Styela clava: one gene and its partner. Each later gene encodes a partner of the first gene's protein in a complex. Links are inferred from orthologs where the notes say so. Each region holds a gene or a part of one and is shown on either strand. Other genes may lie near its edges.

Region 1 (16,867 bases):
TTGTTTATGTAATATTGCATATTACTGTTTCTTAAATGACATGCAGACATTTCTCAACCACGATATTTACAGTTACTCTTTATATGTTACTAGTACTTTAGGAAAATAGGTACGGTAAATTGGCTCTTATTCTCCTGAATTTATTTTTTAGTTCTGGCCTATAAAATTAAACAATTTATGCTGTAGGTTGAAGGCGTGCGTTCATTACCGTGTGTTGATATAAATTGCTGAATCGTATTTTCTGTGTTAAACCAAACTTGGATTAAAATTCTCAAATTATCATTATTGTATATGTTGATATGAATTGCTGCATTCTATTTTCTATGTTAAACCAAACTTGCATTTATATTATTAATCCAATCTAAAGGATTTATATCCCATATCATTATTATTGTATATGTTGATATGAGTTGCTGCATCCAATTTTCTGTGTTCAAACTTGCATCTATACGTCCCAAATCATTATTATTGTATATACTGATAAAAAAGGCTACATTCTCTTCCTACGTTGAGTCCATACGAATTTGGGACATCTGCCCTTATATGTGGGCAATATGGATTATAAAAATTGATAAGGGACTGAACAATAATGATAAATCTTTCGCAACTATTCAGATTCTGGAATATGGTATTTTGTATAGTGGAGATCATTTAGAGTTTAACCTTTGTATTATTCCAATTGTATATAATGGGTGATGTCACCTAACATTGTACTTCTGTCATTCAAATTGAAACACATTATTACAAATTGTATGTCTATTATATCATATTTGATCGAACGGGTCCTAGGTATATTAATATATATATTATGTATAGTATATTGCAGCTTATACTCTTCTTTTGAGCATACATGTCTTGAGTACTTCCTGTATATATTATACAACTCGTTCTGGCCTACTGTGGTTCTAGTCATCATTGAATAATTTCCTCCTGGTCTCATTCCATCATTATAGTTGTGGAATACTACCAACTCAATAGTACATCCTGTCAAAATGTGAAAATTTTCGAATCTGTAGACAGTGGCTTGTCAAATCATAGTGTCTGATATAAATCAACTATTTACTCAATCATAAAACATATGTCAATCATTTAACATTAAAATAAATCCTCAAACACAACTGGCAATGTTAAATGCCAGTTGTGTTTAGGTTGAATTGCTCTACATTCGAGAACCTTTGACTTGATATATTAATCTAGTACTATTCCCTAGAAATTATTCTCCTCCTAATTATGTACAACTCGCCAATGGTGCTTTTTAAATTCATATTTTGTGATAGTGAAATTACGATGCTGCTTTATATTTTACTGTTACATCGACTCATACTATTATATTTATTTACATTTTTATTTATCATTCACTTGTCTTCTTATATATTACTTTGACATCCCTCTGCAAGCAAAAAAATATTATACATAATATAAAATAATGAATATGGGGGGGGGGGGGGGGAGCTGACTCTGATGACCGTATCGCTCCTCCCGGTCTATACCGGTATGTTAGTCGTTATACCGAATAACTTTATTGTTGTATATTTTTATTACTGTTGCTCGCTTCTTTTTCTGGTTGACAAATAATAAATTTCTCGAACTCGCGATGTCGATCAACAAATATAAAGAAAATAGACATGGCGAGTTAGCCCTCTCTCTCTCTCTCAAACTCGCGATGTCGATCAACAAATATAAAGAAAATAGACATGGCGAGTTAGCCCTCTCTCTCTCTCGAGCTCGCATCCAACGGCTGTTTAGAATAAAATGAGACTGGCGGTAGCGAAATAAAACTTTTGTAACTAACTAGGTTAGGTTGTATACCGTACACCGGTACTGTTGATTTATACTCACACAATCAATTAATATGGTGATATATTTAGCATGCTTAGATGAAAATGATAAGTTGAGACATCCTTTGCGGGGTCTCCCTAAAACCAGGCACTTGCGAATTCAGGCACTTTGATATTTTTTTATTTTTACCGTACGTCATTGGGGTTTCCAATTTAACTGACAAGATAATTAGACTTTAAATAATTTTTCGCATCCCTATATTGCAATAAAACAATATTATTTCCAATTTATTAGGGTATAAATAATTTTTCAATAGTAAAATGTGGCAACATTGATTACAAAATATAGAAATCAGGCACTTGTGAAATTTCAGGCACTTGGTCAAAACCAACGACTAACATACCCTGCTCGTGGTATTCAGTTACAAACTTACAATAGCAATTTTTTTTTACCGTCAAAACCTATTTTACAATGTATCTGATTACTCTAAAGCAGAAAATTAAATATATACACTTTGTATGGTTGAATTTACAACATTTTGGTAAAATACAATACCGTTTGTGACTGATGGACGCGTGTCATATTCCGCAAGTGCCTGATTTTTTATTTTTCTCGGTGACAGTTGCCATATTTTTTCGCAATTATTTTCTTAAATTATTTGCGTCAGCACTTACTATTCTTTGCTTTCTAACGCGAATTCATTGTTCCACAACAATTTGAGCGTTTTTAATATTGCAATGAGCAATACCATTTGACAACATATGGTCAAGGATCGTACTTTCTGGATTTATTTGAAATTGAATATGAATAATAAAATCTGGCAACCTCAAGCACAAAATACTAAAACCAGGCACTTGTGTGAAATTTCAGGCACTTCGTAAAAACCTATTTCTCGATGTTTTTAAACACTTTGAAGCAGAAAACTAAAATATACACTCTTTTTTATGATTGAAATGACGTCTTTTTGGTAAAAAAACAAAAACGATTGGGACTGGTGATGAGGGGTCAAATTTCGCAAGTGCCTGATTTTTCATTTTTTTCGATAACAGTTGCCATATATTTTCGCAACAATTTTTCTAAATTATTCGAGTCAGAACTTACTAATCGTTGCTTTTTAAAATAAATTCCTTGTTCTACAACAATTTCAGCGTTTTTACAATGAGCAATATTATTTGACAACATATAGATAACCATCGTACTTTTTGGATTTATTTGAAATTGAATAGGAAAGATAAAATCTGGCAAACGCAAGCACAAAATACTAAAACCAGGCACTTGTGAAATTTCAGGCACTTTGTAAAAACCTATTTCTCGATGTTTAAACTTACTTTGAAGCAGAAAACTAAAATATACACTCTTTTGTATGATTGAAATGACGTCTTTTTTGGTAAAAAAGAAAAACGATTGGGACTTGTGATGAGGGGTCAAATTTCGCAAGTGCCTGATTTTTCATTTTTTTCGATTACAGTTGCCATATATTTTTGCAATACTTTTCATAAAATCATTTTCGTCAGATCTTACTAATCATTGCTTTTTAAAGGAAATTCCTAGTTCTACAACAATTTCAGCGTTTTTAATAATGAAATGAGCAATATCATTTGACAACATATAGATAACCATCGTACTTTTAGGATTTATTTGAAATTGAATGGGAATGATAAAATCTGGCAACCGCAAGCACAAAATACTAAAATCAGGCACTTGTGAAATTTCAGGCACTTTGTAAAAAAATATTTCCCGATGTTTTTGATTACTTTAAAGCCGAAAATCCAAATATACACATTTTGTATGACTGAATTTGGTATTTTTATTGTCCAAAACAAGAAGAACTGTCACTGGTAGGAAATGTAGCAAGTTTAGCAAGTGCCTGATTTTTTGGTTTTGTCAATGGTAGTTGCCATATCTCTATAATTTTTGTCTTTTTTTTTATATGTTGTTTCCCTATTGCATAATTTTATAAAAGTCAATGTTTGTATGAGAGCTCCACTTAGCATAAATGGAATTAAACTTTTAACATCAGTATCTACATCCGGAAATCGATATTTAATTAAACCAATCACGCTTTTGCAAAACTATTTGAATATTGTAAAGTTTGAATGACATTGTGTTGTTTATTTTTATTAATTCAAAAGTATGACATATGTATTATTTAAATACGGGTTCAAATTTGACAGATCTGTAGGGAATATTAGTTAATCAGACGACATCTTTATAGTAATGTTCGGAACCCTTGAAATTGGTTCAAAACTTCTTCTAATTTGTTATAAACATTTCGACGTAATATATTACCCAGGTAGTAACAATCGCATCGTTATAAACAATCTAATTTGTCTTCTGGCAATATCAGTTCGAAATTCCAGTTTTAATTGTTATCGGACGACGATTTTAATAATGTAATTTGGCCTATGACTTCATATAAACTACATAACAGAAACAATTGACTTATGTCGTATAGAATCTTTTATAATACGTATCCAAGTCACATTATCCCCTAATAGAACATAATTTACCGTTCACAAAATTTATAAAAGCCTGTGCAAAATCTATATTGACAACCAGCGGTGTTCAACCACGGCTACAATATAGATATTCAATCACTTGCTGTTGCTGTTGTATAATATTCTTTACAACCTGAAGATCTGACTGTAATATCTTTTCATGGATAGTTTATGGAATGGATTTCATGGATAGTTTACGTAGAATTATTTGTACATTATTTCATGCTGTAACAGCTAACTGTAAAACACGTAGTTCCTAAATAAGAAGAATGGCTACAGGATGGTAAATACGAGATGGCAATGTCACCTAAACAAAATTCGCTCGGCAAATGACATCAGGTAGCTGATATGCCCAAAGTTAGGCTTAAAAGCATCGTTAAACGAATGTTACAATAAAAATCCTTTAATATTCAACACGCCAGTAGTCAGTCAACGAATTTTTTTGCGTTATTCAAAAAGTTACAAATATATAAAAACGTAAAACAGTAATTGTTTTTAATGTCACAGAAGCCGTATTAAACTCTCGATTATAGATCTTTCTCCATCAGTAATCGGGGATATAAATTTGAATTTAAATTTATTAAGGAGATAAAACATTAAAAACACAACTTCACAATGGAAGTGTATGAGTGAACACTAATCGAAGCTTTCAATTTTAAAATTATTAGAAATATTGAGTATCCAATGAAAATCCTTACTATTTGTTCTATTTTGACATGATATGATTTACGTATCTTGCAATTAGGTAAAACCACAGATCTAAGAATTGAAAATTTTAAATGTCAGTTCTGAAATTAAACATGAAAAGATTTTGTGTATATTTTGCTACTTTTATATGTCGGGCGTATAGTGTCTTCATGTCGCGAATGAGCATCAGAATAGGTTGTGCAGAAAATGGTGCTCCCGTAGTATGTGCACAAAGTTGGCACACAACCCGAACATAGTATGTGTACCAAGATAGAGGTATTAGGTTGTGCGCCATCTTGGAGCACATAGGCTACTACGGGAGCGCCCTGAAAATACCCACATTGGCAACACCGACTTACCGAATACAAATTTTACACTTCCACAATTTCGCTTTCGATACTTTCTCACATGTATCATGATAACAACGCTTGCAAACGCAGCATTGGTATTGTACGTGCTCCCGTATACATTTCGCACTTTAACAGACACTCCAATTATTATTTTCCAGAAAGCAAAATTCATGCATCGGAATGTCAGAGTATATGAGTGGCGACGATGCAGTGCGACAACGTTCCAAATGTGATTGAATTTTTGTTGACTCCGCCTTGTTCAATCTTCCATATGGGCGTTTTGAAGAGGTATGTACTCACTTCAAATATAAATACTTGCACCACCCTCGGGCAGACGTCGAATTGAAACTAGCGATAAGAATAGCACTCAATATACATCGGATTGTCTTAAAAAACATTTCAACGAGAAAGCAAAGTATAGTAAGTACTAAGTTCTGACGAAAATGATTTTATGAAAAGTATTGCAAAAATATATGGCAACTGTAATCGAAAAAAATGAAAAATCAGGCACTTGCGAAATTTGACCCCTCATCACAAGTCCCAATCGTTTTTCCTTTTTACCAAAAAAGACGGCATTTCAATCATACAAAAGAGTGTATATTTTAGTTTTCTGCTTCAAAGTAAGTATAAACATCGAGAAATAGGTTTTTACAAAGTGCCTGAAATTTCACAAGTGCCTGGTTTTAGTATTTTGTGATTGGAGTTGCCAGATTTTATCATTCCTATTCAATTTCAAATAAATCTAAAAAGTACGATGGTTATCTATATGTTGTCAAATAATATTGCTCATTGTAAAAACGCTGAAATTGTTGTAGAACTAGGAATTTATTTTAAAAAGCAATGATTAGTAAGTTCTGACTCAAATAATTTAGAAAAATTGTTGCGAAAATATATGGCAACTGTTATCGAAAAAAATGAAAAATCAGGCACTTGCGAAATTTGACCCCTCATCACCAGTCCCAATCGTTTTGTTTTTTACCAAAATGACGTCATTTCAATCCTAAAAAAGAGTGTATATTTTAGTTTTCTGCTTCAAAGTGTACAAAAACATCTAGAAATAGGTTTTTACGAAGTGCCTGAAATTTCACAAGTGCCTGGTTTTAGTATTTCGTGCTTGAGGTTGCCAGATTTTATTATTCATATTCAAATTCAAATAAATCCAGAAAGTATGATGGTTGACCATATGTTGTCAAATGGTATTGCTCATTGCAATATTAAAAACGCTCAAACTGTTGTGGAACAATGAATTTGCGTTAGAAAGCAAAGTATAGTAAGTGCTGACGCAAATAAAATTTTTGCGAAAATATATGGCAACTGTTATCGAAAAAAATGAAAAATCAGGCACTTGCGAAATTTGACCCCTCATCACCAGTCCCAATCGTGTTTGTTTTTTTACCAAAAAGACGTCATTTCAATCATAAAAAAGAGTTTATATTTTAGTTTTCTGCTTCAAAGTGTATAAAAACATCGAGAAATAGGTTTTTACGAAGTGCCTGAAATTTCACAAGTGCCTGGTTTTAGTATTTTGTGCTTGAGGTTGCCAGATTTTATTATTCATATTCAATTTCAAATAAATCCAGAAAGTACGATGATTGACCATATGTTGTCAAATGGTATTGCTCATTGCAATATTAAAAACGCTCAAATTGTTGTGGAACAATGAATTCGCGTTAGAAAGCAAAGAATAATAAGTGCTGACGCAAACAATTTAAGAAAATAATTGCGAAAAAATATGGCAACTGTCACCGAGAAAAATGAAAAATCAGGCACTTGCGAAATATGACATGTCTCCATCAGTCACAAACGGTATTGTATTTTACCAAAATGTTGTAAATTCAACCATACAAAGTGTATATATTTAATGTTCTGCTTTAGAGTAATCAGATACATTGTAAAATAGGTTTTGACCAAGTGCCTGAAATTTCACAAGTGCCTGATTTCTATATTTTGTAATCAATGTTGCCACATTTTACTATTGAAAAATTATTTATACCCTAATAAAGTGGAAATAATATTGTTTTATTGCAATATAGGGATGCAAAAAATTATTTAAAGTTCAATTATCTTGTCAGGTCAATTGGAAACCCCAATGACGTACGGTAAAAAAAAATATCAAAGTGCCTGAAATGGTGCCTGAAAAAGTGCCTGAATTCGCAAGTGCCTGGTTTTAGGGAGACCCTCCTTTGCGTGTCGAGTACCGTACGTTTTCTTGTCACTTTGTTATCCCTTGCACAGTATTCTAACCAAACACATTCAATTTATTATATTTGCCCTCACGATTGAAGTTGTAAGTAAAACAGCCACCTTTCCATCTCCCATTACAAGAAGACCCTTCGTGCAGTTGCAGGCATACCGGTACCGTACCCGTTAACCGCCGTCGCATGGCGAGTTAGCCTCCACCACCCCTTGTATTGAGTCTGTTCCGCACACATCTCATTCATGTATTCAGCTACCATTAGCAGAGGCAAGCCTATTACAAGTACTGATTTACATTATATACAGATAGGTACGGTACCGGTATAATTTAAAAGCGGGAGATCGATATTTAGCCCAATGCTCGAGACATAGATCAGACGTCGTCAGGTACCGGTACCGGTATCACAGTATTATACTGCGTGAACACCCCTATAAAATTTTAAACCCTCCTCTGTTTGTTAGCTCCTCAATTTCCGTTTTTTAATTCTAGGGTATGAGCTGATTGCATTTGCAAATTCATGCAGTCATTTGTCAACTTATGAACTCATCGCTCATGACGAAAAAAACCTCCACTTACTTGAATTACCGTATCATTCCCAACTACTAATCTGCTAATTGCATCTTGAAACTATACAAAGATACATGTTTTACTTAACTTTGTAGCCAAATTAGTTTAAGCATAAATTCAACCGTAAGACTCAGACTTTTTCTGTCTTCTGGTCATAGCCCAGTAGTCATATACCAGTATACCGTAACAGTATAATGATATACCGGTACCGCATGTATTCTTGTTTGCGATAGAATTTTTCATCAATTATAAAAATGCGTATTGAGGAAACTGGGTTCGCAGGGGGTTGAGAAGGCTTAAAATTCCTTGTATGCTATCTATTACTGTATCATTCATACATTCAAATTTTGTGAAAACTGTGCTAGTTGACGTGTAATGCACGAATTTTCTTGGCAAAATACTGCTTATAAATCCAGGGATTTTGTGCAAAATTTATAATATTTTAGTTTTGTTCATTTTTGAAAGAATTTTACAAACATGTTTTTTGAAATAAAATAAATATCACAATAATTAGGTCTATGTAAAACAGAAGTTTTGGTAGGAAAACTGACATTTTGAGTTGGTACATGTGTTTTCAATTAATGTATCATTCTATGAGTTTTATAAAAATCAATATACATATATAATACATAATAATATTTGCATTAATAAATTATTTTATACTTCTTGTTCTTGGACTTGCTTATTCTTTGTTTTAAGTTGGAGAATTTGGTTATTGTCTGATTTGGAAAGTTTGATATAATTGATATGCCAATAGTAGTAAGATAATCACATTATTTTTACTATAAGGATTGGTGCCTATTTGACTATATCAATTCAATGTTGTTTTAGGTTATAGTCCTAGAATACAGTGTATATCTCATCAAAATAGACATGGCAGAAAACGGAGATGAAGAGATGGAGATTTCATCTCTATCAAGCAAATTTATGACACCTATCCAACGTGCAGAAAGGTTGAAGATTCGACAAGAATACAGAAAACTGATCAGTGAAGTCCAAGACAAAAAGGAAGAATTTGTAAAACCAGAAAGTGGAGATTTATTGGATCGTGTCAAAAAAGCAAACTCTCTATTTCAAAGGGTGAAATCAACGAGGGAGGGAGCTTTAGATTCACGGTTTATGGCATTATCAGTGTCTATTGCGGGGCAAACAACAAATCAACTTCAAACAGATCTTGTGGCATTTCAACCTGAGGAATTCATGGAAAAATTAGTGACCAGAATGGATGGGCGTTATATTGGTGAAGAAGAAGATGAAGTTCATATCACTTCAGAAGGATGGGAAAATTTCGGACAATATTCCTCTAAATTTTTTTCTAGCGTGAACCCTGTATTGAATGTTATGTCTGGTACATTTGAGCACAGTGCACTAAGAAGGCGACACACACAGTCTGACCCCATAGATAACGATACAGGGACTAAAACACAGCCGCAGCACCTTACACATTTCGAGGGGGATCGAAAAGAAGCCACACCAGAAGAAATTGAAAGAGTGCTTGGAGTGATTCAACAAATGTATGAACAAGATCCAGTCCCAATAGACTATTTTGAACTTGTTGTAAATCCGGATTCTTTTGGTCATACTATTGAAAACATGTTTCACATGGCATTTCTCGTCAAAGATGGCTTTGTTCGTGTGTTTTTAAATGAAAATCAAATACCAGTTGTTGAGCCAGTCAACCAAAATGAGGAAGATAATACTCAAACCGAAAAAAAATGTAATCAAGTCATGGTATCAATGTCAATGGATGAGTGGAGGGAAATTATTGATATTTATGAACTAGGAGGAAGAGCTCCATTCATAGAACCTTCAGAGCCTAAAAGCCCTGAGAGAGCTAATGGTCCATCATCAAAAAGAGTTAGAAGCTGAGTACCTCAGTGCTAAAACTTATGACTGAGTATGAGCTGAAAAATGATGTGATATCACATTTGAAATTTAAAGGCAGTTGTGAGCTTAAAATCGCAACCCTTGTGTTCAACTATGTTTCATCATCTTCTAAGTGTGTTACATAGCATGAGTTGGGTGATCCTGGACTGTAGTAGTTTGCCACATACAGTAGGACCAAGGTAATTTGGTATCTGATCATCTGATGCTATTTGATCAGTATCAATAAGTCATCTAGATTGATTTTTATCATAGATTTTGATAAGTGCTTTTATCCTTGTGTATGAACTATTCAGAGATAGAATGTAATACTTGGAATATTGTTTCAAAGATTGTCTTTTTGATTCTTGTATGTTAATGTGTATCTGATTTTCCTATGAATCGGCCGATTTCATGATGAACTATAGAGTGAGATTTTCATTGATTTGTAATGCAGAGTCCAAATAAAATATGAAATAATTCTTATGATAAATATGAAATTCTTAATTCTAAACATACCGTGATAAATTGTGCACTTATCGTCTGAATGAGTTGTCCAATTCCATGTGGTATTTCTATCAACCAATGGGTGGACTGGAACTGAATCAATTGGGGCACACTTGACCTAGACGTTTTTAATTAATACAAAAGCAATGATTTCAGGTGAATTTATCATCCAATTTGACATGAAAACTATAAACATTTGATTGTCGTGTTCGATTGGCATACAGGCAGGCCATGGATAGAAGCTATTGTTGTGCTGAATGAATCACTATGTAGCCTATATTGTTGACATAGTTTTTTTACCTTTGGCTGCAAGTCTATATCATGCCCAAAATATCACACCTTTTATACATTGGCCTGATTTGAGTTATGTTTTAGTATCTTTACTCCAATCCTGCATTTGAAGGGGTGAAATGGGTTATCTTTTCAATATCTTTACTGCAAGTTTGCGTTCGAAGGGATGAAATGGCCACTTTTTTATTAATAAATTTTGGAATCATTTTCTTTTCTCATAATTCTATCGTTTTTACTCTTCATGATACTCTAGTATTTTCATACCATTTGGGGCAAAGGTTGTAACCATTTGTTGAGTTTTTATAACATTGAAAACATTTTTGTGATCACGTACCATGAGAGTCAGTAGACCGAGCACTCAATTATTCACATTGTCCCAAAGAAGATTGTCAACCGATGATATCTTTTTATTGTCAGCAGACCGGCATCGTCCTTTTTTATGATCGACGAAATATACAAACACAAACGAAGAAACCCATAGCATTGCATTGCTAGTAAATTATTGGCCTTCAACTTCACAATTACGTGTTTCGCCGAGCCATAAGGTTGTGTTTCAGAATAGACTCGATTGAGTTTAGGCGTTGCGTTTATTGCACAGATTCTTGTTATGGGCGACTGATGACCCAAATCGCCAATTTTTAATACTAAAAAAGCAGGCTCTCTTGGGGAGAGACTCTCTCTCTCTCTCTATAAAATAATGCATATTAAAATTGCATGTATTGTCAGCACAGTCTTATGCAATTGTTTGTTTCACACTGAATGGATTCTAATGGCAATGGGAGAGCGAGATTTCTTATTATGTCAACCAAACAATAGTCAGGCGTGTTTGACATTTTATTTTCATGGAGACTCTAAACTTGAGATAGCGTTGGTGTATTGAGAAACTTGCGTATGAATGAATGCTTTTTGTGGTTTCTCAGATTTGGGCAAGAGCTCATGCGGAACTAAGCATCTAAGGGGCAGCAGTAAAGCTTATTCAGGACGCCAAGCCTTTTCGTTGGGAAATTTAGGAGCGTGATGCTATATATTTCAAATGAATGACCATTTAGAAATCGTTTTTGGCGCTTTCTCGTGACATCCTTACCACAGCGATAGCTCTTAGACGTGGTGTGCGATATTTTCTAAAACTGGAGACGCGACTCTACTGGGGGCCTTTTGAATGTGTTTTATGAGTGATTTGCAGTATATATTTATCGGGGATTTAAGAGTGCACTGGACGAAAGCGTGGTAGAGAACAGAGGTCGCAGGTTGAAAGTAGGGGACAGAAGCAGAGGTGTAAAGGAGTCTTGGTTGGTATGTTTGAGTTGGCGATTTGGATTCAAGTAAATCCCTATTTTGGGCTTTACTGTTACTTCAAAAAAGTATTTCTACATACATTAATTACTATTGTGTCGCGTCCAAATTTTATAACGTATCTCAATTACTGGACTTAAATATATACAAGCTGAACCTCGAAATAGAGCTTCAGAGACATTTTGGATACGTATTTTGACAGAAGATGGATATCGAGAAAGATTTTTAAAACCATTTTAAATTATGCCAAATATTTGAAGAACAGGTTTTGTTTTGTATCCAATTCACTAACAACAGGTTCCCTCATTTTAGAAAATGTATGTATTCACTAAGAAAGGTGTGCTGCATTACCCGCTTCACTGCGAAAGCGTTTTAAAGATCGAAATTCGATTATCCAATTATTTTAGAGTTTTTTTTTTCTAATATTGTTGACTTTTGAAGCGTCATTTTTGCTAATTCGCAGTGGAGGATTGTGAAAAAGTCGCTGACAACGCGTGCGTTTGTATTTTGGTAAAATCGCTGATTGTTTTCGTCATCGTGACGTGTTATTTAAGCCGTAAAAACCTTTACGTCGGTGTTTATTCCCCGTCAATGACAAATTTTCCCCAGCGTATATGTATGTGTTTTGAGCACAGTGGGTTTTACTTTTTTTCCCCGCATGAAACTTTGAAACCAGTGAGAAAGAAGAGTTATCATAATACCCATCGGCGACGAGATGCTAAGATAATTAAAGGAGTGAGTGACCAAACCAAATTTTCTTGATTAAAAAGCGGCAATACAAAATACTAAACATAAACGGAAACACCGTAAGTTTCGATTTAGAATGCCAGCGACAGTTTCAAAGCACTATTTTAGATACTGTAAGCTGAAAAATCCCATGTGCCTACGGCACATATTTAATAATTGGCTTTAGAAACGATACAGTCATTGCAAATTGAAACACAGTCAATTGTGTGCGCAAGGTACCTTTGATTAATTCTAAAATTAGGTTAAACAATTTTTTGTTGTACTAAAATAAATTTTGCTTCGCGGAATTTTATCGCATAAGAAGAGATTTGTCCAATTTAAATATGTTTAAAATAAAGTGCTGCAAGAACAGCTCAGATTTTTCGAGCTCACGAAATCGCAAAACACGATAAAATCGGAGACTTAATGAACTTTACCACACATTTTTATGTCCGCAGATTGTCGTAGTATTTCAGAGTGATAATGCTTTTATTTTGTCGAAGCTGCCACAGCTTTAATTAAACACAATTAAATCAATAAAGCAAGACATTTTAAATACGCACGTATGGATTGATTACTTTGTACAAAAAATGATCATTATCCGTCAAAAACGTCGGCTCTTTACTATACTTTATATGTATTTTTATTCACCTAAATTAAATCGTACTCTCTGGGATTTGATAGCAGATCTTAAGATTTTTCTAACTGCGATGACGAATTCGCAATACGTATCAACACTGAATGTTATTTGATAGTGTTTCTCACATTTTTATGTTTGCAGATTGCCATGTTGTTTTAGTTGTGCAAATGTGAGACAAGCATTAACTCTTTGAACTCTGACGGCTCTGAGCGAAGTTACTCGCTCACCCTGAAGGTTCGCGGCGCCGTATTGGTTGAACAATAAAATAAGTCTAAATACTGGCTATTTGGCACGCTTGTAACTTTTTACCAATTATAGGTAGCACGTTGTGAGACATTTCAATCGAAAGGAAATTTTATCGTGCATTCAGAATGTATTTTCCATTTTGAAATACAGTTTGTCAAAATTAATAAAATTGACCCTAATCTAACAGTCATTTTTCTGCATGTATGTGAGTTTTGGCTTGAAATTTTGTTAGTTTGGTACAAAATATACTGCCAATATTTGATGTTCATAAAGAGTTTTTTATAAGCTTTTTGTTGATATTCGAATTACTATTGTGGCTGCCATATAACCAATTTTATATTTAAATATTTAATTGTGTATCATTGTGTCGGGTGAACAACATCGATAAGCGGCCATGACGCACTGATTACGCAGCTACGCAAAAGCCGATCACGTGACTACCGTCATGAAGATGTTGATAAGTACGTTCGAAACGTATTGCGTGGCAAAATGCGCAAGATAACTTTCACGACGACGTTCTCAGCGGAACATCGGTCGCCGAGTTTCGATATGATATTAACCCTGTATGGATTGAAGTACCGACGTCGAGTAATGCGTGCAGTAATAGCGAAGTGAAGTTAATATCGTCATATAAAATTTCACGTGGAAAATGTTTTATTCGCCCATTAGTATTTGTTCAAATATCAACCAAAATAAGTACTTACCTGCTCTGCAGATCAAAATATCTGATTTTACGAATGTTAGGCGAAGCAAGTGGATGGAATAATATCTGAGAGCACTAATACTGCAGAAAGAGCAACTCTTATTCTAACAAGATCATATCCGTCGCCAGAACTAGATACCCCACCGCAAAACGCCAGTTCTAATAATAGATGCGTCGTATGCAGCAAAATTTACATTATTGCCAAAAAACCAATCCAGCTGCTAAAGACAAAGCGTTGCTGAAACGATGCGAGACAGTATATAAGTACAAATACTGTAATGAGTACCTATGTATAGGTAACGAAACCAACAACCATTGGTATAACTGGCACAACAAAGTGCAATATTGGATTTAGTCTGCCTAATATTTTCATGTTCTTCATTGTTCCGGGCACAACGAAGTGCAATATTCAATTTAAAATTTTTAGCAAGCAGTCTTTTATGCACATACATTTTTCATGGTCTTTATTGTTCCGTTATCCGCTAATAAAATCACAATCTTGTTCATATTGCGTATACGTAACCACAACTTAATGGGCTTGAGCGGGCAGTCAAAGTCAAATCGTAGTGCGAATTTTGAATGCGTAGCATCGGGTTAATTAATTACTTCCTGCGGACATTTGAATAATAACATCTCGACGTAACGTTATTGCGGATATCGTCACGTTTAGTTGCATTTGCGTAATATGCGTAAAGGTGTGCGTGACGAGACGTTGCCTCTCTCCAATGAGAACATCAATTTGACGCAGCGTCGCTGTTAAATCTACAGATAATCTAATATATTTGGTCATAAAATTTGAATGGCTCGTCGTAAAATCGTTTTGGATACGTATATAAAAAGCTATTCAAATTCTCCACATATATTGCCGATTGAATATGTGGCTATTTAGGCAAGAAGTCGAAATTCTTTATATTAAATATTTGTTATCATACAATAATTTCATACGCACTTTCAAATTGCCAATTTTACTGAAACATCGTATATTAGAGCACCGATCATCACAATATAATTAGTCCCAATAACGAGCTTTCATGCAATATAAAATTTATTTAAATACTCATTGTGGTTCTTGAGATACGAGATCATAAAGTTGATTCCCGCCGACACGAAAAACAAGCCGGTAAACCGGCTTGCCGGGGCACAGAGCGTACTCAAACAAGCCGGTAAACCGGCTTGCCGGGTTCAAGCGGTTAAGGAGAAGTAATCGCGGCGACTGTTTCAGAAGTGGTACCATTGGAAATTTTAAATTTGAGTCAGATTGATTTCTTTCTATTCGGTATTGGGAATTAGGATTGCGCACCTTGCGTTTGCGTCCATTGCTAGCTTGTGATCAGGTGACTACTGCGGTACCGGCAGTACTGTACTATATTGTACTGTAAAGTCATACCCGTACTATTTCGTTTTGGCTTTCGTGTCCATATATTTGAGCGTCGCTCTCTTGTTTTTCTTAATTTTTACTGATGACGACATCTACAAAGTTAGGGTTATTTTGTGCTCTTATTCAGAAAATATATTGGAATTGTCATAGTCGTATACCAAGTGCTGGGTTCAAGTAGCCTACGCTTAAAAAATCACTCAAGTAACAAGTAATTTTATAAATATTAGTTGAGTACTTACAGTAATTAGAGACAATATAGTATATTTTTAATATATACCTTTTTTATTCATTGTATGATCGTTTTAAACTTTTTCATAGGCAGCTCCTCAGTGATGCCATTTTCAAGATCTTTAGCAGTCTCATTAAAAAGATTAGTTGAAGAATGTCGCGAAAGAAACATTTTTTGACAAATATTTTACAATTGCAACTTCACCCTCTGTCAAACATTTTAATTCTTGGGCGATCTTTCTTAATGTATATTCAATACGTCTCCCGTGGCTTCCAAGAATCGTGTGAGCATCTTGAGCAATGAGTTACATACAGTAGTGGGATTCAGCCGGTTTTTGTAACAGAACCGCCTGAAAATATGACGGGACAAAGGTCAGCGTTTTCCTTAGCGTCATTGGGCGTAAAACCTTCATGCTTGTACGTGACTTGGTTGCGCCTGAGAAACCTGCCACTAAAGCATTTGCAGAACTTTGTGAAGTGTTGAAAGATCACTTGTCGCCAGAATCACTGGTTCAAACGTAGGCTTACCATAGGTCCCGTTTTAGGCGGGACAGTCCCACTTTTAAACGTCTTGTCCCGGCGTCCCGACCGGTCAGCCAAAAGTCCCGCTTTGGCGTTCAGCCAGTCCGAATAATACACGAACAAAACCAATTCTCGATATTGTTGCTGCTGTGTAGCGTACTGGTAGCCTACTTACTGAAGGTGGTGTTGTGTGTTTCGTTGTTGTTGTCGGATAATTGCAAGCTCCGTACGCCAAAAGGGTGCTCAACGTTAACGTAAATTCTTTTCTATTTTTCGAATTTGGACAGAGAGCACATGAACTCTCGATGACATTATGTTCAATGAAGACAGGCGGAATGGTTTTAAATATAGGCCCCTAATGTAAAATCAGTACGTTCAAAGTTGAAAAAATC
Region 2 (17,349 bases), on another chromosome or scaffold:
TTGTCAAATTGAATTTTCAGTGAAGCTAGTGAGAAAGATGAGATTGTTTCTTGCTATTTTCCATAATATACTTGACATTTATTTTAATTTCAGATAGTTTTAGACGTAAAAATTGAAATGTTGCAGTTCATTTGGAAATTTGCTCTTAAACTTGCTTTGCCACCGATCCTAATAACCAGTATAATTGATCAAAGCTTTCTACATCTTTTAAAGATTTCTCTTGCGACCCACCAGTGGTCGCGACCCATAGTTTGGGAACCGCTGGACTACTGCAATGCAAATATACTCATATATACGTTTGTTTAGTTGTTTTGGATAGATCTTCTAGTTATACAAACTTTTACTTCAAGTTCCATCACAGGCTCGTTTAGAATTATTCACATTCTACGCCCATAGTAATAAGGAATGCGTCCTTATTATAACACTGCAATCATTCCCAACAACTTCAAATATTAAAAGGGGAAAAGTTTTTGCGAAGATTGCCAACAAGTGCGTTTGTACCCTTATATTGACTTACTGAATCTTTCGACATACGAAAATGAAATGTAGGACTACAATAAAAAAAATCGTTTCCATGGACCACAAACTGAAAGATTTGAATTATTTGAGATATATTTAACGAATTGAACCATAAAGAGAAGCCGCGATTTGTTTTGGGGAAAAATATTCATACTCATGGAAATTAATGAAGAGTACATATGGAAAATAGTAAATCCGTCTAATATTTCAGGTTATATATTGTTAGACACGAAGACAAGAGAGGGTATAGCTGAAATACTGTATATATATTTGAAATGATCTTTTAACTTCATGAATTACTTTTCCATCTCCTTCAGGCATTTCTTTTTGTAGAATAATTTTCCTGTTATATTGTGATCGTCAAGAACATTCCAAAGATCCACTAGTTGATCAACTGTAGGATTCGTTGTAGTTAACTTGATTGATGCAATATCTCCTGCAGAAAAGAAATCCGACGATCCGTAACCGTTTTTTTTAAACTTGTATTGAATAATTTAAGCTAAAGGACCCGAGTCAGGGAATGCGATTTCCTCGCAGTTATTCTCACAATATGTAATAGCATCAAGTGGTGATTCATTGGGTATTATGGATATTTCATAAGTTGAATATGTTATTCAGAGTCATAATCGAATACTTTCCTTTATCGGAATTGCCCGTTATAGGATATAGCACATATCTGGCAGTGCGTTCAGTGCTTTTACATATTTCAAACGTTAATCTCTCCATTACCTTTAGTGCTTGCTCCACAGAAAATAGCAACAAAATAATTTTCATAATCAGTTATCATTGTAAAGTCGTTGAGTATTTGATGTTCAGCTGTAAATAAAACGGTTTGGAATGAAAAGTAAATTTTTAGATTATCTTATCATAAGAGAAGTGACCTGCCAACCGTTTTCAATATATATAAACCTTATACCTTCGGCAATCTTTTTTTGCAATGTTTTTCCAATGTTTCCTACGTTTGCTCGTGAAACGGCCCGATCATTATTTTTCTCTAAAAATACAATGCATATAAATTCAACTTTGGAAAAATGTAAGGTGTTTTTCTATAAAATTGAGTTTTCCTACCGCAGCGGTCTCCAAGTTGTGCGCCGCGAAAATGAACTGAATAAGGCAAACATAACTAAAATACGATTGCATATTTTACATTGTATTTATTATAAAATTTTCATTGTTTCTTATTCACTTGTTGTGTATATGAATCAATAAATTAATTTTACCTTTCTATGTCGTTTACCTTCTGTTACGCAGTACCTGCCTCTATTGTTACGTAACAATAAAGATAGACAGTACGTGCTGGAGTTTCGTGAGCGGCAGTTTTTTTTTATTTTTTGAACCGAGTTTAGCGAAATGAGTGTTTTTTTAGGGGAAGGGATGAGAGAGAAAGGTTAGTATTCCCGAAGTATGTGAATCAAGATGGCGGACACCGGAACGTAGTATGTGTACCAGCTTAGAGTTAGGCCATAATTCCAGGTACAAATACTACGGGAGTCACCTATCTAGTCCCCGAACTCGTAATAGAATTAAAATAAGGAAAATTGGAATAAAATTATGGCCTAATCCTAACCTGGTACACATACTACTTTTTGGTGACCGCCAGCTTGGTTCACATACTTCGAGAGTACCAAAAAGTTGACCTTTTGCCTTCATTTCTTAGGTTTACATGTTTACAAACTTTAAAAGGCATAAACTACACATTAACGATCACAAAGTTAGGTTTTATTCCAAAGGGGCAGTTTTTTTTTCGTGTAAGTGCGCCGTGAAATTTTCCTGCTGATAATTTGGCTTCGCACGAACAAAAGGTTTGGGAACTGCTGTCTTACCTACTTTCCTTTCCTTCAGATGATATAAATATAAAAATCGTCTCCTCGTTTACTTGGTTAAGTTTGAACATATTTGATACTCACTTGACTGATGTGCAAGAGCATAGATTCCAGATCCTTTCGACACCACTTGAAGATCGTAATCATGAGATTCGAACCTATATGATATATTGTAAAGTTTCTTTAATAATTATCTAATTTATTAAATTAATTATTAATAAATTATTTAAATAATTAATTGATTAAGTTAACAATTAATATGCTATTATGCTATCAAAGTGAATTTTCTGAATAGTTTCCTCGGTCTCGGTTTTCCTATCCATGAATTGACTATATTGCTATTCCACTCAACGGTTGCTGGTGTGGTTTTGATACTTTATGATGAGTATATGTATTATGATGAGCAATTATATTTTCATTTTATTTCTCACCCCATTAGGTTTATAGATATGGTCACATATACGCCGTCGGGCATGATGGTGATATTGCGCATGTGATAACAATCCAGGGCTGCATATGTTGCTGGAACAAAAAATGCATCGTACCAAATTTTGCCTTGAAGCTGAAACACAGATGGGTATTAGTGGAAATATGTGGAGTTATACGTAACATACAAATTGAGAGATTCAAAAAAGTGGGGAGGGATAACTTACTTACAATGTAAGGCAGGAGGTGTGCAAACTTTATTACAGGAGGGCCCCATACAGATAACTTGATGAAACCGCGGGCCGCACCTTAATTTAACAAAGGCTTTCTTGTGGTTTCAGAAACAAAAAATTGGTTATTGATCTTATGACATGCGTTGTTCGCTTTGCACAAACTAGCTGTTATGGCATTGTAACGTCATAGGCATAATAAAATGGACTCTAGAAAGGCTTTGCAACGCAAAGTGATTGTAATTACTCGCACGTATGTGATTAAACTAAATTAATAACTGAACAAACTGGCACTTCTCTGCGTGCATATTACCTTTGTCCAATCCACAATTTGCTTTGATTTGCTGTTCTTGCAATCGTTTGCGGTCACGGAGCAACAAAAAACAATGCAGAGAAGACAAACTGCTATTTTCATTTTTCCCTTTCTGTATCTGAGCATATTTTCCGCAGATATCGAAATGTATTTTACCCGATTAGTTTCATTGCAAATTGATAGAAATAAATAAAATTATAGAATATTATTATTCGACTGTCAAAGATGGACAAGGCGAATGACTTTTTATCGGTATCGCAGAAGGTCACTGATTAAGTCAAGGATACAAAGGATTTTCAGTCAGCACGATGACATGTCTCATGACAACTCATTAAAGTTTTTAAATTAAACTCAAAATAAAACCCTGATTAAAAATTTGACTCAACTTTCTTCTAAATTTACAAATTTTACCCACTTGAATAATTTGGATTGGATAATCAATTCGAAGCACACAAGTCGTGTTTTTGTCTCAACAATCACAAAAAGATTTTCGATTTATCCTTTAAATAACAGTGAGCAAAATATATCTCACATTAGGCCAAAGTACCAACTACAACGAAAAACTTCCAAATGAGCAGGCTTTCATCCCTACTCTGCTGGGAGCTTTTGAATATATTTCGTGATGAAACCTGAAACGTGCCGCCTGATGTTCTCGATCGTGAAACGAAAACATCAAAACATTGAAATGTGTACCGAAGGCATCACGTACACTTTCCTCGTCTTGAAAAGGGTGCGCGTAAATACTAGAGTTCAATATAATAGGGCTATCTTTTGTTTATTTGCTTGCAGTTATAACGTAATTAGCTATTTTTTTTTATTGAAACATCCCCAACAACCACAATTAATTTTGTCATTAAATGTCCGAAACAAACACATAAAATCATCAACAAATGCATATCACCAACTCTTAAGAAGATATTGCTGAATTGATCTTTTTGTTACCATTTTACATGTAATGATTTTTGGTAAACCTGTTATCTATCGTAATTACAGCACATTTGACTATGTTGTAGTGTAATTTTTTGGCCTAACTTTTTTGATATTTGTAGTTAGATCTCTTGGGGCTCTGTCAAACAAAGTTACATACAAAATATTGGTTGTAGGTTGCAAAACATGATCATGTTGTTGGAATAACTTGGCATTTTACCACCCGTAAACCATTCATTGTCGAGAATATTGATGAAATCATAAAATCTAAAACCCGTTCTCGTGAATTTTTTGTTTCAAGTTTTGTTCGAAGCATTATTTGTTGACGTTTATCTCAAAGACCGAATTGTAACTTGCGGTACTATTCGCCGATCCCCACGGTCTGATAATTCTAGAAATGAAGATTTTTCTAATCTCATGAACACTGTTTTACCCTCATTATCAGAACATATTATAATGATGGGTGACCTTAATTATGATCTGATGGACTAAGTTGATAAATCAATATTCTTTTTATCCCACTATAACCAAACCGACCAAAATAACCAAAAACAGCGCAACAATTCTTGATCATATATGGACAAACATATACGAGCGAAAACCTGTCAGTGCTATTCTAACTGATGCAATCTCTGACCACCTACCTGTAATGCAGTGCATGTCGACAGAACAAAAAACACTTAAAAACGAAGAAAACATTTTTCCTCGATCATTTAATCCGACCAATATGACTAAAGTATTCTTACTACAGATCGCTTTTGAGTAAAACTTTAAACTATCTGAAAAATCGTAGCAAACAATGAATACCCTGCTAGGTCGATGCAAATCTAAACTGTCAAATGTATTTGGTGTAGGAAATAAGGAAACGTGTGATCCTGTATTGATAGCTGATCATTTCAATGATGATTTTTTTACGTTACAGGAAAACGAATGGCTGATAAATTCACTAATGATAACGACGGTAACTTTATGAGGTAGGCTACATGAGCAAATCTAGTAACTCATCAATGTTTCTGGCATCGGTAACAGCCACAAACATACAAGCTATTATTCGAGCTTTTAGACCTAAATCCTAAATCAAGCTTGATGGAGTCCCCATTAAAAGGTTATCAGAACGATGCAATGGAACTACATGCTCTCTCTTATACATGTTTTTAATCCTTCTCTTCAATCGGGACCATTTTTAGATGAATTTAAAATCGCTAAAGTAGTACCGCTTCATAAAGGCGGAGACTTAAAAAATGTCAAAAACTATAGACTGATTAGCTCAATGCCATCTTTTTCAAATATTTTAGAAAAAGTCGATCATTCAACAAAAAATATTAACTTATCATGCTGAGTACGGATGGCGGAATCGAGTCCGGAGTTAATACTAGAATCGATTCCGATGAATTAGAATCGAATCTCGAGGTTAAAACTTGGATTACAAACAATGTGTAACGTTTTGTGGCAAATCCTTCACTTTCATGCATAAACTGCTTTACTGCTATGTTGATTTGATACGACACCGCAAACTGTACAATATATATTGCTAGAAGGACTCTGCGTTTATTATTATCTCCCTGAGTTCTGAGGTTTTTATTTTTGTGCGATTTTGTTTCCTGTGACAGATTGGATACTCGTACTACTTAGTTTCGGCCTTCTTGTCCGTCTGCGAAAAATCGCCACATTAAACTTAAATTTAAGGCGCACATGCACCTTCTATTGCTGTGCTGAAAACCTTTCACAATGAGACGTGTAGCATGTGTTGTTTTTATTTACTTATTATCAACGTGGAGGATGATTTTGTTTCTGTGTCAGGGCCAAAGCGTTAAAATCAATCGACCTCCAGCCAACGGCATTCTGATTATGGAAAGTACTGATATGCATTTTTTACAATAATATCATTTATCATCGAATTCAAGGTGGCAGGATTTTATTAATTTTACAAAACTAATAACGAGATGCACCATTGAAGTCGGTGCCCACACAAGTAATAGGAAGAAAAAAAGAAAGAGGGATTTACATTTATTTGGTAATTACAGAACATAAACATATGCCAGGGATGACGAACCACTGACCCGCAGGTTACAAAGTGAGCCATCGCGTTTTATTCGTGACCCGCCAAGGCAGGAATAAAATTAAAAAAAATGCTAATATATCAAGAATAAAAATTGATAAAACCGGCCTTAAATTAATCTAACAATAACTGAACTATTATAATGTACCGTCAGTTGGGCAGTCAGAGCTGCGATCGCTCATATTCAAATTGTTAATTTTGAGAGCCGGTATGGTAATTTTCAAAACCCCTAATCTTGGACGCATATCTGCATCGCTGTTATTCAGCTATTGGCTTTGACATCGTTTATGACTTAACAATACAATCGATCTGTTCATTTCTCACAACGTCTTGTCTTGTCTCTTTCGGAAGTACATCTGCAGACTGTTTTGGAGGATATACGAGAACTAGATGCTACTTTGCATTTTATTAGTTGCTCGCCTACGATGCCGTTGGGAAAACAAAATCTTTCAGACTTGAAATAAAAACCTAGAAATCTGAAATAACATTGGGGCAGTGAAAAAGTGCTTCACTGTGATTGAAAGCTGATCGAAAAATATAACACCATCAGAGTGGAATTACCTCCAAAATCTTTGAATCCGTAAAATATTTTTTCCGAATTATCACGTTTTGGGCAACGACTAACGGTTTTTGGTAATTCATATGCGTGTTTTCGTACTCTAATTTTATAAAATCGAGTGCCATAAAAATTCCACGATAGAAGTGCTGCATAAGTAAAGCCCAAAACTACACCAACAGAAGCCCATAAGATTTGTTTCAGAGGTTTTTTATAGATACAAACATTGATTAAATATCTGAGACCATGGTTAACCATGCTGAGACCCACTCTCTTCCGTTCCGCGATAAAATTATAATTTTTGACCATCTAAATCAGCTTCCGTGTGCAGTTTGGGGTCAATGATGAGGGAGGTGGACAAATTGTACATAATAATCATTATTTGTGAAATGGTCAAGAGTAAATTATTTTACGTTAGCAGTTCGCATAAAAGCAAACCGTCTGCCAGAAGGTGGCAGTATTGAGCCAATAAGGATTTGATTAATTTTTGTTAGATAGCCTATCACTAGAACGCAGGCGCCGTTTCACAGTAAGCCTGTCTAGCTTACCGCTACCCGCGAGTTTATTACAAATTGCCTAGACAGCGTAGGTTTATTTGTTAGTGTACGCCGTACTGCATGTAAACTAGCTACTAGCAGTAAACTATTACCGTAATACCCGGATAATGCATACATATATCATGATTGTAAGTTGAAAGATCGAAATAAAATTGTATTGTAAGAATAGGATTTCATAGGCTACCGGTAGCTCTGAGGAAGTCTGTAAGTAGACTTTTTCTCATCCTGTTATAGCCTAGCTTTTGGACTACTCGTAACGCTTCCCTTTTTTCATCGGACTAGAGAGCCAATAGCTGAATACAGGAATAACGGTACACAGCGGTGCTGATTGCTCACCAATAAAAATCGGTTTAAAAGGTTTTTAAATCAATAATCCAGTAATATCTGAATATGAAGATGCCAACAAATTTTTGCTCCACAATTGTTGACTAACGTAAGTTACCCTATTATCGCCACTTGCCAATTTTCACCACACTCTCTTAAAATCGCACTGCTGCAGTTGCACTTCAGCACTTTCAGATAGCGCTGAATACGAGTTGTTTTCGGATTGCGACGTCATAAGTGATAAGTATGAAACATATTATGTCGCCCGGTGGAGTACAGACATTTTAATAAAAACATGAATTTTTGAAAAATATAAAAATCAACTGATATCACGCGCGGTCAACTTTTTGGGAGGCGGTAATTACTAATTATCAGCCCAAATAGCGCGACGATGTTTATTTCTTTTAGTTTTTATCAGTCCGTGTTAGATCTAGGTTGAATCAAGTTTGACATGGGAAGTGTTTGTAAAAATTGTGCTATTATTAACTCTCGCATCCACAGGGTGGCGATAATAGAAAAAGAAACTTATGGCTCGCCAAAAGAGAGAACCGAAAAAATCGTGAAAAAACAAAGCAGCAATGCTCAAATATATGAGCACGAAAACCAAAACGAAGTGGTATCAAATCTTCCACAATAACAGTAGTCTCCCTTATTAAAAAAAATTCCGATTTCGATGACCGCCAGAACGCCTAAATGTGATCGCAGAACCGCCATGCTAAGATGCACAATTATTTATTTTGATGACCTCATCGCATAAAACTTAGGGAGTGAAAAACGAATCTCGTAGGGCCGACAAAAATGTTTGAAATAAATAAAAGTAATAGCCTTTCAGCGGCCGCAATAATATTTAATCGTTGAAAATTTCAGAGCAATTGATTATGTATTTAAAGAGAAAAGCGTTTGGAAAAAAAAGTTTGACATAAGTGGCGATAATAGGATAATCGTAGTTCCTATTATCGCCATACCCACATTTCTGCTATATTCGTGAGGTGTCGCTATAGCAAATTCATTTCGCGACTCAATGCTGTTGGCATTTTTTTCTCCGATTGGTAGCTAATGTTCCGGGACAATAGAGAAAAAATTGTTACTTTAGAGTATAGTAGTCTTCGGATGGATTGCAGTAAAAAGTGACGATAATAGGGTAATTTATGTTACATACTAGCTTGCAAGATTTGGCCTGACCGAAAAATGCGAAGCAAAAAAGACAGTATTTCAAAATTGCTTAGCGCTGTGGCGCATCGTGTTGAGTGATAGGAATCCCGTGGGAATAGTTATGGGCGAAAAGATTGGCAGACTAGTCGGCGCTGGTCAGTTATGGCTCTGATTCAGCGTATTTTTTATACAATAATTTTACACGGATGTACTGAACAGTACCAGTATCTGAAGTCGCACAAATACTCTCAAAATTAGTGACAAGGTATAGAAATAATATTTGGGGTCAAAGGTCAAATGTCCATGTTCAAATGTTTGTTCTGATTCAACATATTTTTATCCAATAATTCCATGTAAAAACACTCCCAAAATTAACAGATTAGTAAAAAGGTATGTTCATTTTGCTCTGTTTCAACGTATTTTTGATCCAATAATTTTAAGCGGATGTACTGAACAGTACCGGTATCCAGAGCCGCACAAACACTCAAAATTAATGACAAAGTATAGAAATAATGTTTATGGGTCAAAGGTCAAACGTCCATTTTTGCTCTGATTTAATGTAGTTTTTATCCAATACCAGTAATTTAACGCGGATGTATCGAACAGTATCTAAAGTCAAAATCAGTTGCACGTGAACGCAGGTGTTTTGCATGTCATGAGCTATAATTGCACGCCTGGAATTCTGATTTGCATGCGGGAATTTCTGATTGCACGCCCGATTTCTCGTTCAAAAAGGCCATGAAATCCAGACTGGCCTGGGCATATACCACCATATTTACCTCTTATTTATTTGAGTATAACTTTCCTTTACAGATTGTATAAAACAATATAAATATCTGTATGATAGCATAACAAAAATGACTGCATATGGAGATGCCCAAAAATATTTTTTGCAAGCTATGATGCAAAAAGGATCAGCGACTGACCATGAGTGTGACTCACTCTTAGATGAGTGCTTCAAGGTTTCAGAAAAAAATAGAGACCAGTGGACACTATCATCGTTTATAACATCTGTAAATAAACAAATTCAACCTTTCCACCTAGAAATAAGGAAAGGCAATGATGAAGATTCTGGACAAGATGTCTATGCACTAATAAGTGTCACAGATCATGATATAAATCATTTAGTAATTGGAGGAAATTTCACGAAAATAGAAATTGAAATTTTTCACCGAGCTGTTGATCTTATCGTTAGCTCAAATACAGGAATGGTTTCATCTACTGATATCCTCAACATAACGGAAGAATTGCCTCAGAAAAATATTTTGAAATCTGAAATCGAGATTCTGATTACAAAGCTTGTGAAACAAAATTGGATTGGAGAGAAAGATGGGATGGTATACCTCACCCCTCGTTCAATACTAGAGTTGGAACCGTATATAAAAGCTGAATTGAAGAATGAGGTTTTATACTGCAACATATGCAAAAGTATGGTCTTAAAAGGAGTTAACTGCAAGAGATGCAGAAGTAGAATACACTTGTACTGTGCCTCCACTTATTTCAGGGGTAGATCAATGGACGAATGTAAATGCCCAGTCTGTCATGATGTCATGACGTTACTTCCATCCTTGCCCAATATGGATACATCTCGTGTAAACGGAAGTATGGAAGGTCTGACACCAACAATTAATGAACGTAGAAAACGAAGGCGATGAATGGAAATACTATTCTATACTCAATAACAAAGATTATGGGATATTTCTCGACTATTGTGAATGCTCCACACTTTGTCTGGAGCATTCAAGTTATTTTGAATGAATAAGATTAGGTTTCAGAGTGAAATCATATGCCAAACTGTGTCAATTTTGTATAACAAAAAAATACTTCATAGAACAACATAGTTAAATGGAGATTACTAAGCTGTGTTAATGTTTCGCATAACTTCGTGGCAAAATGAACATACTTTTCAAAGTTGTTTAATGTTTTAGTATATTTTTCAATTCGGTGTGCCACCCATTTATGAATATGTACATACACTAGATGTGATACTATGTAATATTTTACAAAGTATATTTGCTTTATACATTCTAATTTTAGGTGAATATGGCAAAAATTATGACTACCAGTGTTAACTCTAAGCAAATTATGAGTGCGAAAGTGCTTCGCAGTCCAAAAAAAAAGTGCGAAAGTGCTTTTGCCGATTTTAACAAGTTAGGTGCCCTAGCCTTTCATATAACCCATTTAAAACGGCATAGATACTCGAAAAAGCGCTCCTCCGGTTAATATTATGAATTAAAGAGAAGCCTTTTCGTTAACGGAATCCCTTTAAGCGAATTCATGTTTAATTAAAACAAGCGAATTCATCGGCAACGAAATGACATCTGCTAACACCTGCCTACCTACTTTCATGCAATGTATCACGGTGTCAGTTGCTTACTCGCGTAAACAGCAAAGACTTTCACATTTGTTACTCCTTCCATCTAACAGACACGAGGCCGGCTGGAAACCATATTAATTACAGGGTGGATCGTTTGTACAAATCCGGTGCAAAATAATCCCCCCCCCCCTCAAAAATAAATAGCAATCAACTAATTAGGGTTAGGTGCGCTAGAAATTCAACTTTTCGATTCATCCCTAAACCTAATCTGATAATTATTAATTTGTGATTTTGAACCGCTTTGAAAGTCGCCACCCGCTGTTTTAAAAGATAGGTTAACCTACGTTCCCTCCGAAATATTATGCAGGATACTCCCCTGTTTTAGGAGATAGGTTGACCTACTTTCCTTTCAAACTTTTTTCTCCGAAATATTACACAAGATCACTTTGAAAATCCTCCTGTTTCGTGAGCTAGCGTGACCTAATTTCTCATTTACATTTATATTATACTATTTCAGAGCTTCCCCAAAGACAAGTAATTTTTAAATGTCCACATGCCTTGGTTTGCGTGCGAGTTAGTTTAAATCGGGCAGAAAACATCATATATTGGCAAAATGTTTAGTAATGTCATGTACTTTCAGCATTCATAAATAGCACTCTTTGTAATGCTGCTGACCTAGTATCAAATATTCGCATCACAACGCCACTTGCGAGGTTTCCATATATTTCAATTACACTAATAGGAACGATGACATCAAAGAGTTTTCTTTTGCGAAGGTACACTAAATATAACGAGGGTGATTCTTGAGAAAAACATGAATATAAAAAATAAACGAATGATATGATAATGGATCCCAAATAATTTTGAGAGTGTCTCGAAATACCAATCCATTTGATAAATAATTTTTATTCGACCACATGAACGCTGATATCCTGAAAATTAATGTTGAAAGCGAATTACGCATTCTCAAATATCGGACATTCAGTCCCGATATTCAATCGTTCATATGCACAAATCTCACATTAATAGTAATTGCTACCCAAGTTTGTAAAGTTTAGAAACCAACAAACAGAAAATAACTAACCTAAAACACAATTAAAATTCAGTCGGCAATAAATTCGTCGCCAAGACGATGCCATACAAAACAAAAAAGATTTGGTCGCGAGAGTTACGTGAGATGACTGCCTTTGTTTTTTAAGCAGAATGTAAAAAAATTTATAATTAATAAACGGGAGTTACGACGCCCTTTACACATCGTGTGTATTAAACTTCCCTGGTAGGTACTTTGGTGAGTACTATTATTATTGTACCTATACACCTGTTGGAGTATTTCGGACAATTTCGAATTTAAAATAAATGAAAACCAGACATATAATGAAGACGCAAAAGTAAAATGAACATTTATTGAAAAAGTTATTATTTAAGAAAGACAACATGATCGTACAATTCCGCCAAAACCTCGATGTTCGCAAGTGAGATGATAAATAAATACTTCCCTGTATTCGATCAATTAACTTTAGCGTATCGTTGTTCTGCCAACAAACAGCCGGGTGCAAAATATTTCCGTCCTGTGATATGCTCAAATATTCCCGATATTAATATCATACCCTCGCGTATGTACTTTCTATTAGCTCTTTAGTGATCCCTTCCATCCTTGGCCAAGTCATGTTTCGAATATGTGAACATTTTATTCGGCCATACATGGCCGGCGGGATGTTAAAATTGTAAACAAGAGAGAGGTAAAATCAATCGCGAATTTCGTTATAAAGGCTCGTTTACGAATTGTTGCGCCTGTTATCGTCGAAAATGCTTACACTTGCTGTATTTTGAGGCATTCAAGCAGTAATAATTAGGGCATGACATCATCAAAATCGTCAAGTGAGATCTTGATATTGCAAATTCCGTAAATAAAATTGCGAATTATTCGGTAACGAATTCAGCTTTAATGACCGTCGGGGTATTGTTTTGTTGAAAATTATTATTAATTTGAGAGCGCCAAAAACATACAGTCCATACCGATGCGACTGCAATTTATATGGTCGCAATTGGTGTGGCGCGTTTATTAATAGTGTAAAATAAATTAAACGAATATCAATTATAACCAAGCCTGTCAGCGTGTTTATGTTCTGTGGGCAGGAATTGTAAAATACCATCTTGAGACAAATTCACTTCCATTATAAAATCTTAATTTTCAGTTATTATCGTTATACAAATAACGTGTGGCAACTTTTTAATTTATCGTCGATCAAAAAACCGCCCCACACTCGTCCAAACGTGTGTCGAGCTTGAACGACAGGAACAGATTCATCGACGACCTTAATTAGGGAAAATATGTATTTTATTGGGAATGCAAAATAAATGTAACAAAACGCATGTTTTGTGATATAACTTTGTATTTTCGGAAACGGGTTGCCGTGAAAGGTAAAATTTGATCTAAATTAATTGCAAAAATGTTTTATTTTAAATGTAACAAAACACATTTTGCGATATAACCTGGTATTTTCGAAAACGGGTTTCCTGAAAAGTAAAATATGATCTAAATTAATCGCAAAAATGTTTTATTTTAAATGTAACAAAACACATTTTTCGAGATACAACTTTATTTTCAGATACCGGGTGTCATGGAGAGTAAAATGTGATCTGAATTCACCGTAAATGATGTTTCATTCCAAATGTATCATAACGCATTTTTTTGCGATATAACTTTGTATTTTCGAAAACGGGGCGTCACGAAAATTATTAATCTAATGTTTTATCTATCGTCTAACTAACGTCTGGAACACATCACTAGCCCGCGAAACGTCATTTAATTTAAAATAGAGAATGTTTCACGCATTTCAAAACGAAAAATCACCAGTAAGTGGACAGGGATTCAACCCTCCGGATTCAGTATTCTATATCCCCGTGTCAGAACTTTCTGAAGAATGGAACAAAGAACCCGTCAAACCGCCGCGGAGAAAGGGGAGTATTTTTGCACTAATAATTAGGGCGTGACAACATCAAAATCGTCAAGAAACTGGTGAATTTGCAAATTCCATAAATAAAATTGTGAATTGCTCGGTAACATTTTAGCTATAATTATCGCCGGGGTATTGTTTTGTTGAAAACACGTTGAAACTTGAGGGAATTAGTTACAATTAGCGCCTGACGTCTATTAGGCACTCGAGCACTCGAAAAAAAAAGCACTCGAGCCCAATCTTTTTAGCATTAAGTCGCATACGTAAAATATTCTGTAAAAGAAGTGCTGTTCATTAACGTCATCTCGTCTTATGACCACGCAGAAATGCCTTTATAGCCGAATTATTCAATCACTATTTCAAATCCACATTCAGGATTGGCACAATTTCAGATTTGCGAAGTTTATCACCATAGAAATACATGAGAAAGTTAATTATCGTCTTAACTCTTAATAAATATCTGCATCACGGTATGGACAATAATATTACCATTCGCATAAAATTGGGACGGTAAATTTACAAATCTTGATAGGTAATATTAAAGCCAGCGCAAATGTTAATTTGAGTCCTCAATGTCTTTAACAGCTGTTGCCGATGTGAACGAACAGGTAAACCCGAAATATAAAACTTCGATGTCCGCCGACCCACAAGAATTCATATTTGTAAAAAAAGAGAGGGCGGGAATACAGATTACCCAAAACCTGGATATCGCCGCCAAACGATCGGTGACAAGAACAATTAGCGATTACAACGGAATTAACCAGTAAAAAGGCTTTGTTGCCGATTTTTTAATGTTTCCACCACGTTTATTCGGTACTCCTTAAAAATATTCGATTTAAAAAAATATTGAATTTTGCCCACCCCTCCTCGCATATCAATGACGTCCTTTCAACATTGTGATTACAATAAAATGGCACTTAATGGTATTTTGTGAATTTGTTGATTTTGCAAATCTGTGACATGCTGCTAAAAGTTTCGTCTGATTTGAAAATAGTGCAGTTTGGTCACAATTCATCCAAAGTGACTATAACAGGTTACTAACACTTTTTATAGTCATTTTGAATTCATCGATATCATTGATAGTCACATGACCACTCTCCTTCAAAGAAACGCCGCCCCGGGAGCGTTTTTTGCGGAGAAGCGGAATCCGTGTGCTTGTATAATAATCATATTATAAACAAGATTTTGCCGTTAATGCAAAAGCTTTATCTCCTATGTCTGCATTTCATAGGTTAGAATTCCGGTAAATATCGTTATGATATGCAGAATTGAGTTACAAAAGTACCAGTATGTTACTTATTTGTCAACTTAATACTCGAAAATATTTGTTAACTTTGAATTTTTATTCCATTCAAAATCGGAAAAAAGTGCTATTTCTCTTCAAAATCGGAAAAAAGTGCTATTTCGCAGTCCCTAAAAAAAGTTGCGAAAGTGCTTCGCAATTTTCGCAAAAAAGTGCGCTAATAGTGAACACTGATGACTACCCTGGAAGAGGTTATATTTTACAAAAAGAGTAGCAATTATTATACAGGGATAATTTCTAATTTCATCCGAAATAAGATATTTTGTCATTATACCTTGAAATATTATTAGTTTAGGAACAGGAAATGCCTGATTTTCTCTTATATTTTTTTGTTCAAGATTTTTGACATAGAGTTAATGGATCACTTTTTAATTTACAATTTCATTGGACATCATCAAATCCAAACATTTCTACTGTAATTTTCAAACATTTTTGTTTTTTCTACTTCTTAGATTTTCTATGCTAATTGTTTACCAGTAACCTCAACATACGTACACTCGTACTTTTCATTTACGTTCATTTCCCTTGTCTTGTTTGAGGTACCATGCTGTTATTGAAATTATTTGTGGCCATCGCATTGGTGCTGTTTCACACTGTAGAAGGTAAGCATGAATAAAATTCTAGTAGCTTATAACTAGAGCTCAAAACAATAAACAGGGTAGCATGGGTATTCACAGACTTTAGTTTAGAACTCTAATCAGCAATTACCTTCAAATTTACGTGTCAACTGCATGACTGAGTAAATATTTTTCAAAATCCTGCATATGTATATCTGGAACATACAAAGTGGTTACTTTAATACATCTATATTAAATTTTAACCATCTAAAGCAGGGGTTCCCAGACTTTATTGGCCGCGAGTCAAAATTTGGAACGGAGGGATGTTCGCAGGCTGGAAAAGTGCGCGACAGTTTAGTTGGGGCTCAGTGAATTCACCACTTCATTTATCGAAAAAATGTCAGTTTTCGGAGTCTAGTTTTCGTTTTTGTCTTGACATGTCTAAGCTTATATGGTTCATAACTAAATTCTGCCTTATGTAATCCTAATACTGGTACGAATAACCGCTTTAATCGAATTGTTACCATAAACGCGTGCTTAAACTGTGATATCACACTCGGCGCTATCCAGAATCGCCTTCTTTCGCAACCAAAACCTCAACTTCTTTATAGTTTTTAGCACTTAGAGATGGAGTCTATTATTATTAACCCTTCATTTCTTTCACAAAAAGGTAGAAACAAAATTTGTTGCATACTTGTTCACTTAAGCTCGGCGGGCCCTTTTAAATCTTTACGCAGGACACATTTGCCAGCGGGCCGCGGTTTGGGAAACCCTGATCTAAAGAATGATTTGAAGTTGAAAAAGCAATTTGTATGAAAAACGTAACAGCATAACCAGTGTGTGATTAACATTTCTCTCAATACGCTTTTCTAAAACAATTATCTATTTCACTTTACAGCCAAGGGACCTCACCAGCATATCAAATATTACGAAGAGTTGAAGTATGATAGATTGCAGCTTCTCGAACAACATGAAAGAGTAAAAAGATCAACTCAAAGCAGTAATGGTGGCTTAGGACATGTTATGCTTCGATTCCAATCTCATGGAGGGTAAAATATTTGTAGCCTCAAATGATGATACTCATTAAGGAAGTTTCAATAATCACAAGAACAGATTGTTATGTTTTAAAAATTTGTCAACCTTCATTGGATTATTTTTAACCATAGAAGGATTCTTTCGAACCTGTTAGATTTCTCATGTATATGTGATTACTTCATTAATAAAGTCATATTTGTCTGAATCAACAAAAATTGTATTTAGTCTTATATATTTCAGATTGATGAAAATTGTTTTTAACACAATTATTCAATGTACTTCTCCATTCCATAC

Evidence for each region.
Region 2: non-structural maintenance of chromosomes element 4 homolog A-like (region 1) and non-structural maintenance of chromosomes element 1 homolog share a complex: the UniProt entries of both Homo sapiens proteins name them as parts of the SMC5-SMC6 complex. The link is inferred for Styela clava from reciprocal best matches to the Homo sapiens genes NSMCE4A and NSMCE1.

Annotation. Positions count from the first base shown.
Region 1 is NC_135257.1:6,217,704-6,234,570, forward strand, and holds non-structural maintenance of chromosomes element 4 homolog A-like, read left to right. Parts: upstream 1-8,891; 5' UTR 8,892-8,951; coding exon 8,952-9,947; 3' UTR 9,948-11,213; downstream 11,214-16,867. UniProt on the Homo sapiens protein: Component of the SMC5-SMC6 complex, a complex involved in DNA double-strand breaks by homologous recombination. The complex may promote sister chromatid homologous recombination by recruiting the SMC1-SMC3 cohesin complex to double-strand breaks.
Region 2 is NC_135251.1:24,040,604-24,057,952, reverse strand, and holds non-structural maintenance of chromosomes element 1 homolog, read left to right. Parts: upstream 1-9,685; 5' UTR 9,686-9,743; coding exon 9,744-10,541; 3' UTR 10,542-15,916; downstream 15,917-17,349. Other genes in the region: uncharacterized protein LOC120336825, read right to left, coding at 816-955, 1,249-1,335, 1,436-1,513, 2,427-2,500, 2,774-2,904, 3,312-3,437; disintegrin and metalloproteinase domain-containing protein 10-like, read left to right, coding at 16,008-16,065, 16,919-17,069. UniProt on the Homo sapiens protein: RING-type zinc finger-containing E3 ubiquitin ligase that assembles with melanoma antigen protein (MAGE) to catalyze the direct transfer of ubiquitin from E2 ubiquitin-conjugating enzyme to a specific substrate.